2 linked regions of the Neurospora crassa OR74A genome follow. The protein of the gene in region 2 purifies or fractionates together with the protein of the main gene of each other region. This does not show direct contact. Links are inferred from orthologs where the notes say so. Each region holds a gene or a part of one and is shown on either strand. Other genes may lie near its edges.

What was found.
Region 1: the proteins of NCU02007 (region 2) and acp-1 purify together in Saccharomyces cerevisiae (affinity purification with mass spectrometry; 4 studies listed by BioGRID, with this or other methods). This does not show direct contact. The link is inferred for Neurospora crassa OR74A from reciprocal best matches to the Saccharomyces cerevisiae genes ISD11 and ACP1.

What each region holds. Positions count from the first base shown.
Region 1 is NC_026506.1:4,098,332-4,102,807, reverse strand, and holds acp-1 (acp-1), read right to left. Parts: upstream 2,784-4,476; 5' UTR 2,448-2,783; coding exon 2,238-2,447; intron 1,646-2,237; coding exon 1,628-1,645; intron 1,410-1,627; coding exon 1,329-1,409; intron 1,174-1,328; coding exon 1,078-1,173; 3' UTR 614-1,077; downstream 1-613. Other genes in the region: nuo21.3c (NADH-quinone oxidoreductase chain I), read right to left, coding at 3,371-3,447, 3,554-3,873, 4,168-4,430. UniProt on the Saccharomyces cerevisiae protein: Carrier of the growing fatty acid chain in fatty acid biosynthesis. May be involved in the synthesis of very-long-chain fatty acids.
Region 2 is NC_026501.1:1,696,084-1,699,524, reverse strand, and holds NCU02007 (iron-sulfur cluster biosynthesis protein Isd11), read right to left. Parts: upstream 1,742-3,441; 5' UTR 1,536-1,741; coding exon 1,485-1,535; intron 1,386-1,484; coding exon 1,221-1,385; intron 1,158-1,220; coding exon 1,095-1,157; intron 1,038-1,094; coding exon 994-1,037; intron 931-993; coding exon 921-930; 3' UTR 663-920; downstream 1-662. Other genes in the region: NCU02008 (hypothetical protein), read right to left, coding at 2,343-2,587, 2,921-3,083.

The DNA.
Region 1 (4,476 bases), on a different chromosome or scaffold from region 2:
GATTCCCAGGAGTGAATGAACGAATCAATGCCTCCTAAACAAAGAGAGAGAAAAAAAGAATTAAAAAAAAAATTTGTAAAATATATAAAAAATAAAAGATAGAAAGAAAACAAGACGAAGAGGAAAATAAAGGAAAGAATATCGGTTGGTACGGAGCCCAGTTTTAGCTTGAGGTAGGTACCGAACAATTCTGGCTTTACGTGATCTTGAGGGCAAGTTTCTGAGGTGGTGGTGAATACATGCATACCTTAAGGTAGGTATCTTCATGCCGCGATCTAAATATTGAAGTGGGACATTTAAAGGACCAGACATACTCCGTCGTAGTATCAAGGATCTCTCGTCGGTCACATCTTCTTCACTTGGTCACGCAACAAAGTTGACATTTTCTCTTGAGAAATACCACGTATCTATTCAGTTTAAAGGTAGATACATCTAGATACCCAGTCAGATGGTTTCTCCTGGTTCGCCAACTTCGCTCGATTCAGGTACTGGTCTGTGTTTGTTGAACTGAGCAGTGATCAGACAGGAAGACATATAAACCCAGGCCTTCAAGTTGAGTGCGCTCCAGTCATGATTGTTCTCTTTACCTGAAAGGGGGGGGGGGGGGGTATGTAAGTAGTGTGTAGGTACGGATATAGGCGACAAACAAAACACAACGCAACAGCACAAGAGTTGACACCAACGCTATATTGAGCCTGCCACAATACCACTTTAGTGACCACCAAACATTGCAACGTGTCGCCGCGTTGACCAACCCAGACTAACCACTCTGACAATGATAACAACATCAAGACCAAGTCCGACCTGCCCACAATTCACATCTAGCCCGTACCCATCACGATGCTCCATTCCATTCGTCATCTCTTCTTTCATTCAGGTTCTAAGTTTTCGTATGGTACACAGATCGAATCGAATCCCAAACAATGACAAAGATATGTTTCGAATCGACCTAGTTAAGGATAAAGATAGAGGTGAAAAGGTAAGGTGGGTAGGTAGGGAGAAGAAGTATGCTTTATATTTGCGCAAGTAGTGGGGTTTCTAAAACGCTCGAACAAGGAACGAAACAGAGGACTTTTTTTAGTTGGCATCGGGCTGGCTGAGGATGTACTCGACGGCCTTGTCGACCGAGTGGATCTGGTCGGCGTCCTTGTCGGGGATCTCGATGGAGAACTCCTGTTGCGGGTAGGTTTGTTAGCATCGTGTTTGGCGTCCATGTGCTATGACTGTGTTTGGGTTGAAGGGTGATTGTGATAAGAGGCTGAGCTTGGGCCGAAAAGGGAATATGACAAGGGCCCGGAATAAAAAGAAAAAAAAAGGGAGCAACATACCTCCTCAATAGCCATAACAACCTCAACGGTGTCCAAGCTGTCAAGACCGAGGTCGTTGGCGAAGTGGGCGGTCTCGGTGATCTGTGATGCGCAAACTTGTGTCAGAATCTCTCATCCCTGTATCTTTGGTCTCGTTCCATTGCATCTATTCTTGCGGTTTGCCCGTCTCGTCTCTCCTTCCAGACTGTCAGGCCGGGAGCACCAGGGCACTGGGATTGACCCATCATGACCAAAAATCACATCATAGTTCGTCTCCGTGACGGTGAGGAGGAAATGTTGGTGTTTGCGTCTGTACTTACGTTCTTGGGGTCGTTGACCTGGAAAGTAGATGTTAGCTTGGGCCTGGAAAAAGGTTGCGAACACGGGACTGTTGTGGCTTCTGAAGAAGAGGCTGGAGGAGAGGGGAGATCCAGCCGAGGTAAGGAAGAAAGAAGAGCAAGAGACAAGAAGTTGACCAGCAAGATAGCAAGAGGAGGAGGGCAAAAAAGCGAGGGGAGAGCATCATCATCGGAGCAGAACCAGCCCAGCCGGCAGGGCAGACCCATTCGAAGAGCTCCCAAGTTCCCGATAAATCCGACCATGGCGCAGCGTGTGGAGCACGCAGTGCTCTTCATCGTATTCCATCTCGTTTTGTCGCGTCTGCGCAGCCTTGATATGCTCTTCGCATCTTTTTGGTCTTCCTCCGTTTGTGTTCTGTTGTCCGGCTGGTTTGCTTGCGATGATGATGCTCCCCCGCACGCTCTCTCCTCTTGTCTTCGCGTAGCGTATGTCCCTAGACCACTCGTATCCCTCTGCCTCTTCACACCTCTTTCTTATCTCCTTCCTTTCTTCTGCTCCTCCTCCTCATCCTCCTGCTCGAAGTTTGTATGCATGTCGTGTCGGGTAGGTCTCTTGTGATGTAAAACGCACCTTGTCAAATCCACTCAACACCTGCGCAATCCTGCTAAAGACCTCATCCTTCTTGAGATGACCACCGGCGCTGTAAAACCGGACAGCCTGGAAGGCAGCGACCTTGGGGACGGCCTGGACAAAAGCAGGACGGGCAACACCAGCGCGGACGGCGGAGGCGACGGCGGGACGGGCCACGCGGGCGGCAGTGAGGGCGGCGGTGCGGAACATTTTTTGTTTTGTTTGGGTGGGCTGTCGCGGAAAGTGTCAATTGCGCGGGTCGGTCGGGTGTTTGAGGGTCGGTGGTGGTGACAGGAAAGGCTGTGGCCGAAAATGAGTGTGACGCTACTACTCGGTGGTTCTCGGACGAGGTTGTTGCGGGTTTCTCTGGCTGGAAGCGGATTTCTGGGCGGTGGTTGGCTGGAATCAGCGATGATGATGATAAATTTCTCGCCTACTGCCTATGGTACGCCGGGGGCGCGGGAAGCGGGTGCGGGCAACTGCGGGCGGCGGCGGCCAACGAAGCTAACAAACCCGCCTCTGACTCTGGAGCTTCAGCGTGTGGAGGTACCTTGGTACGTACAACCTCGATGCTCCCCCGCAACTGCAGCCATGGAAGCTTCAGCTCGTTCTGCTACTCGTCAGCCGAGTCACGTGCAGGTCGCTCAGGTACCGTCTTGTACACTGCGGAGAAATGTGTCAAGCAGATACTCCACTAACACCCCACGGGCAGGATCACTCCACTCGTCTGTTAGACGGGTAATCCCGGTTGATGGATACGATGGGATGGAGTTCATCACGATACAGCTTGTATCTTACAGATGGTACCGTACACTAATTGTACATTCAGCCTTTCAAGCATCTTTAGGTTTCTTGATGCGTCCCTTTGGCCGCATATAGGATCTTCCCTGGCGAGATGACTTTCAAAAAGACAAGAAGTTGGATGAGGGACGCAATTCACAAATGTATCTACAGCCTTCTTTTGCCTGTCCGCCTGCCTGCCTGCCTGCCTTCTATAACACAATGGTGCGTCCTGTTGATACCGCAACCCGTCCGAAACTGCTGGTTCCGAAACTCTAGCATAGCAACAACGAAAAAAAGAATCTCTGTCTTCATTGTCCGTCCTGTTATCCGGTCTTCAAGCCACAACCCCTTTATCTGTAAGGTGAATCGGCGCGAATAGCAGCCGCAAGCTCAGGCTCCCACTTGTCTCCGTTAGAGAGTAGCTTTTCTGTATCTGTTGTCAGCACATGTCATATTTTCCTGGCCCCCCGACAGCAAGAACCTATCTCCAGCCAGCACCAGGTTATCACGGCATCCCCCAGAAAAGAACTCACCCTTGTTATACAACAACTCCTCCCTCGTCTCCGTTGCGTACTCCGCATTGGGACTCTCCACAATCGCATCCACGGGACAGCTCTCCTGGCAGAATCCGCAGTAAATGCACTTGGTCATGTCGATATCGTAGCGGGTCGTCCTTCTGCTTCCATCGGCACGCTCTTCAGCTTCGATGGTGATGGCCTGAGCAGGGCAGACGGCCTCGCAGAGCTTGCAGGCGATGCAGCGTTCTTCGCCCGACGGGTAACGACGAAGGGCGTGCTCGCCGCGGAAGCGGGGGGAGATGGGACCCTTTTCGAAGGGGTAATAGATTGTGTACCTGGAATAGAGGTGTCAGTAAATATGGTGGTATGGGTTTGCGCAGTCGTTAGGTAGCTGTTGATCGTCGTGGTGACGGAGGAGCGGCGGGAGGAGCAGCACAGTACGAGCGCGCTTAACCAAGCGACGAGCCGCAGAGCCGCAATCTCCATACTACTCCAGTGCGCGAGTCATGATACTTGTCATGTCGTGGATCCTGCCCACCTCCTCACCCCAGATCCTTCCAACTTCCACCACTCACCACCTCCTATCCTCCCAAGCCAGCAAACAGACAAAAGACAGACAAGATACTTACGGCGGCCTGAAAAACTGCTCCATAGCCACATACATGCCCCTAAACATCTCCGTCAAAAGAAAGTACCGTCCGTTCTTATCCAGCACGTGTTCCTCCTCTTGGTCCCACGTCTTGGGCGTCGGAATGCGGAAGCCCTTGGGCGGGGGACCGGCGGGGGTTGCGTAGGTGCGGATGGCCTGAGAGACGAAGGAGGGGGCGATGACTCGGCGGGTGGTGAGCTGGCGCGCGACGGCCGCAGCCGAAGAGGCAGTGGTGGTGAGCATGATGGGCGGGTTGCGGTGGATGGTGTTGATTAATTGTTGGTTTTGA
Region 2 (3,441 bases):
CTAATCTTGAATAGAGGTGGAGCAACGTCGGTGGGTGAGTGCAGGTCAGCGGTCCAGGGACTGCTTCTAAGTGCTGCTTGTTCTGCCGCTGTACTGTGTTGGAACCTGAATAGAAGGATGGATGATGATGAACAATAACGATGGATCGGCTGAAAGCGACTAGATGCCGGACTACGTAACGATATGGTGCAAACTATAGGTAGGTAGGTATGTGATAGAGAAAGAGAAGAGTAAGGGGAACCCGTACTGATGCAGAGGTAGCTTCCACAAGAAATCGATCCTATGCCGCCAGCTAAGAATGTTGTCAATGGAAGGATGGAAGTCGACAAGGTGCGGGATGTTGCGCGTCGCATTCAAGTCGCGGCGGCCAACCTGACACTCTCCGACAGCCTTCGATTGACTGCAGTGGCTCGTCCTGCAGTGGTCAGTCAGTGGTCGCGCGCACTGGTCGCACTGACCATGCCAATGGGACATGAATTCTCGGTAAAGCAATTTACCTTCTTAAGGCAGCCCCCACTGCCAAACCGATCTCGGATATGCAAGGAACGAGTCGATCTAGTTGCGACAAGGATTCGCAGGTTCTGACGGTGATCCGGAAAGCCGGTTATCATGGCACGACACAACCAAGACATAATCTATACCCAAGGGACCGTTCATAATTGTGCCGAATCACTGGAATTTGATATGGTAACTGATTTAAGTTAATTATCCTCTGCTATCAGAGAAGCCCCGTCGACCACCACCTTTGGACTTGTTGGCCTGCTAAATCAAAGCTGGTATTGGTATCCCGTCATCATTCCTGCAACCTCGAACAGGTGTACTCTTCGCCAACCCTTCACTCATAGTATTAAACATAGCCTTTTCTTCCCGTGTCATTCGTGCAAAGCGACTACTAAACAGGGATTTTCGTCTGCAGCCATTTAGTCCCAGCTGAGGTTCAGTTCGTTAGCAAGACAGCTCTTCTCAAATCTGCTTCTCAAGATTATAACTTACCCAGTATCCTTCTGCCTGAGCTTACCTCCTTCTTTGTCCTTACCCTGCGACTTGTTAGATCACCTCTGATCTACTCCACGGAACGGTTCAGGAAGACTTACCGAGAGCCCGCCCTCAACGACCAAGCGGTCCTGTTGGTAAAACTGGCTAATGACTGTTTGGCGCTATTCCAATGTCAACTTCTCTGTATTCTCCAAGTCGCGTCTCAGCTCGAGTGCCCGGCATACCTTGAGCATCTGAAGATTCTGTAACCCTTTCTGCACAAGTTCCTGCACCTGTCTAGGATCCTCCACGTTCTTGTTTTCCCTGAAAGCGTCTCTTGTGCGGCGCTTGGCGTATTCTCTGAAGTTGTAAGAGGAAAACTGATTTCCCTGGCGCAAAAGCTGACGATACTGTTGGTTCAAAGCAACGATGTTAGCGTTTGCGTTGTTCTAGCCCAAATACCGTTTACGATCCAGGGAAAGAAGTGCGCAGAAAGGCATGCTACATACCAGCGACAGAACTTTGCCGGCTGACTCGCCAGTCCTTGCGACGGTAGACATATCGATCAACTTCCTTTCCCGTTTCCCTCTTTTGGCCTCTGTGCTGCTTGGTGCGTACGATTTGGTATGCTCGTGCCTCGTGGAGAAACTCGTGAGTGTGGTAGGAAAAAGGTGCTGTAGAAGTCAAGGCGCCGGCGAATATGGCTCGTCGATCAGTCGTGATGATGCGTTTGCCTTCGTCAGCGTACGGCGAAAGCTCGGACGTCCGCATTTCAGATGTGGTTCGGCGACCTTGGCGCGAGTACTGGGTGGGTGGCTCGGATATGTACATACACTATGCGTAAGCATGACCGAGATCTACGGGTACTCAGCATCTTGATAAATGTATTCATTCATGTCTGTGGCATATGATGGCTTACAACGTCCTCTTCCTTCCTCTCGCCCGTTCAGTCACTTCTCGTTCACTAACCCTTCCGCTTCCGGACCTTTGTCCATCACTGCCATTTCCCAATTCATGGTTCCCGTTACAATTTTTATAATGACTGTTCGGCCCCGAGTCTTGCGCCACTGCATATTCGAATTGTTCTTTCCGGTTTCAAATGCCTCCTTGCACTCAATCAAATAGCCACAGCAAGAAGCATACTGAACACGCCGAGCACAATGCCTCTTTTTCTCAATCAAAGCACCCCGAATAAACTCAGTTCCAAGTGTTTCCATCGTGTCACCAAAAAAAAAAAAAAATGGAAGAAAAAAAATAAAAAATTCTACAGCTTCGTCACGGGCTCTCATAACCGAGCAGTCGAGCAACCAGCATCGGACTGTTCATCTTCGGTTATCCTCACAACCGCTCAGCTATCTCTCGGAGCCCTAGAGATCGGAAAGGATACGGGCGTTGAGTTCTTTCATCAAGACGAAGTTCTCAGGATTCAGCGAATGACCGGAGGCCCTTATATAAGGAGAGCCCTCCTGTACGCTGACCGGCAAAGGCATAGCCGGATCGCTTGCCTGAGCCAGTTGTCTTCTGGAGGCACCCTGCCCACCGCGAGGGATGCCCGACCAGATACAGCTTGATTTGATACTCAAGGACGCGCGCACCGGGAAGAATCCAAGATCTTAGTTGACGGGTGTTGAATGGTTAGTTTTCGAACATTATCACGTCATGCCGTGGGAAATTCACTGCTTCTGACATCAAATACACTTTATAAAGTTCATGCAAGATCGGCCATCAAATCGCGGCAAGGAGACACGGCTTTTCCGGCATATCGCGTGTCAAACCTGACGTCTTCGTGAGGCTGGAGTCCTTGGGGATCACAAGATGAACCGCATATCGGGCAGGTTGGGCTCTGCTTCAACCAGATGGGCTGCCTGATGGAAGACAACCACCAAGAAGCCTGCATGACGGCCTCGCGGTGGTCGGGGTTTAAGCAAAGCTTCTAATGGTCTACCTCCATGGTTTCCACCAGAGAAATGGCTTGATACGGCTGGGTCGCTGTACCAAAGGAATATCGACATCGGGAACTGGAAGGGTTGACATGACTGATGATGCAACCCCGGACTCCATCTTGGGTCTCGCTTTAGCTGAGCCTGCCATCGAGATCCAAAGGTCATGTTCTGGTCTCCGCGTTAACCAGCAAAACAACTTCAACCAGGATGCCTCAAACAGTCGGAGCAAGCCCAGAAAGCCCAGAAACGTGTTGAACAACTTGTCGTAACTGTATTCATACACCTTCTCGCAGCATTACAGCTCTGAATACCCTCCGTTTTGCCTGGTTGCGGGTCAGAATCAGCGGGAGCAATTGTGTACCGTGAGCAAGTAGGGGTTGCAACCGGACAAGATTACCTCGCTCTAACAGCGATAGCGGCCCTCCGATCCGAATGTGAGCCTGTATACATACTACATCACGCAGAATGTTGAAGTCACCGAACGCAAGTCATGAAGAGTTGGTTCCGAGAAATGGCCGAGCAA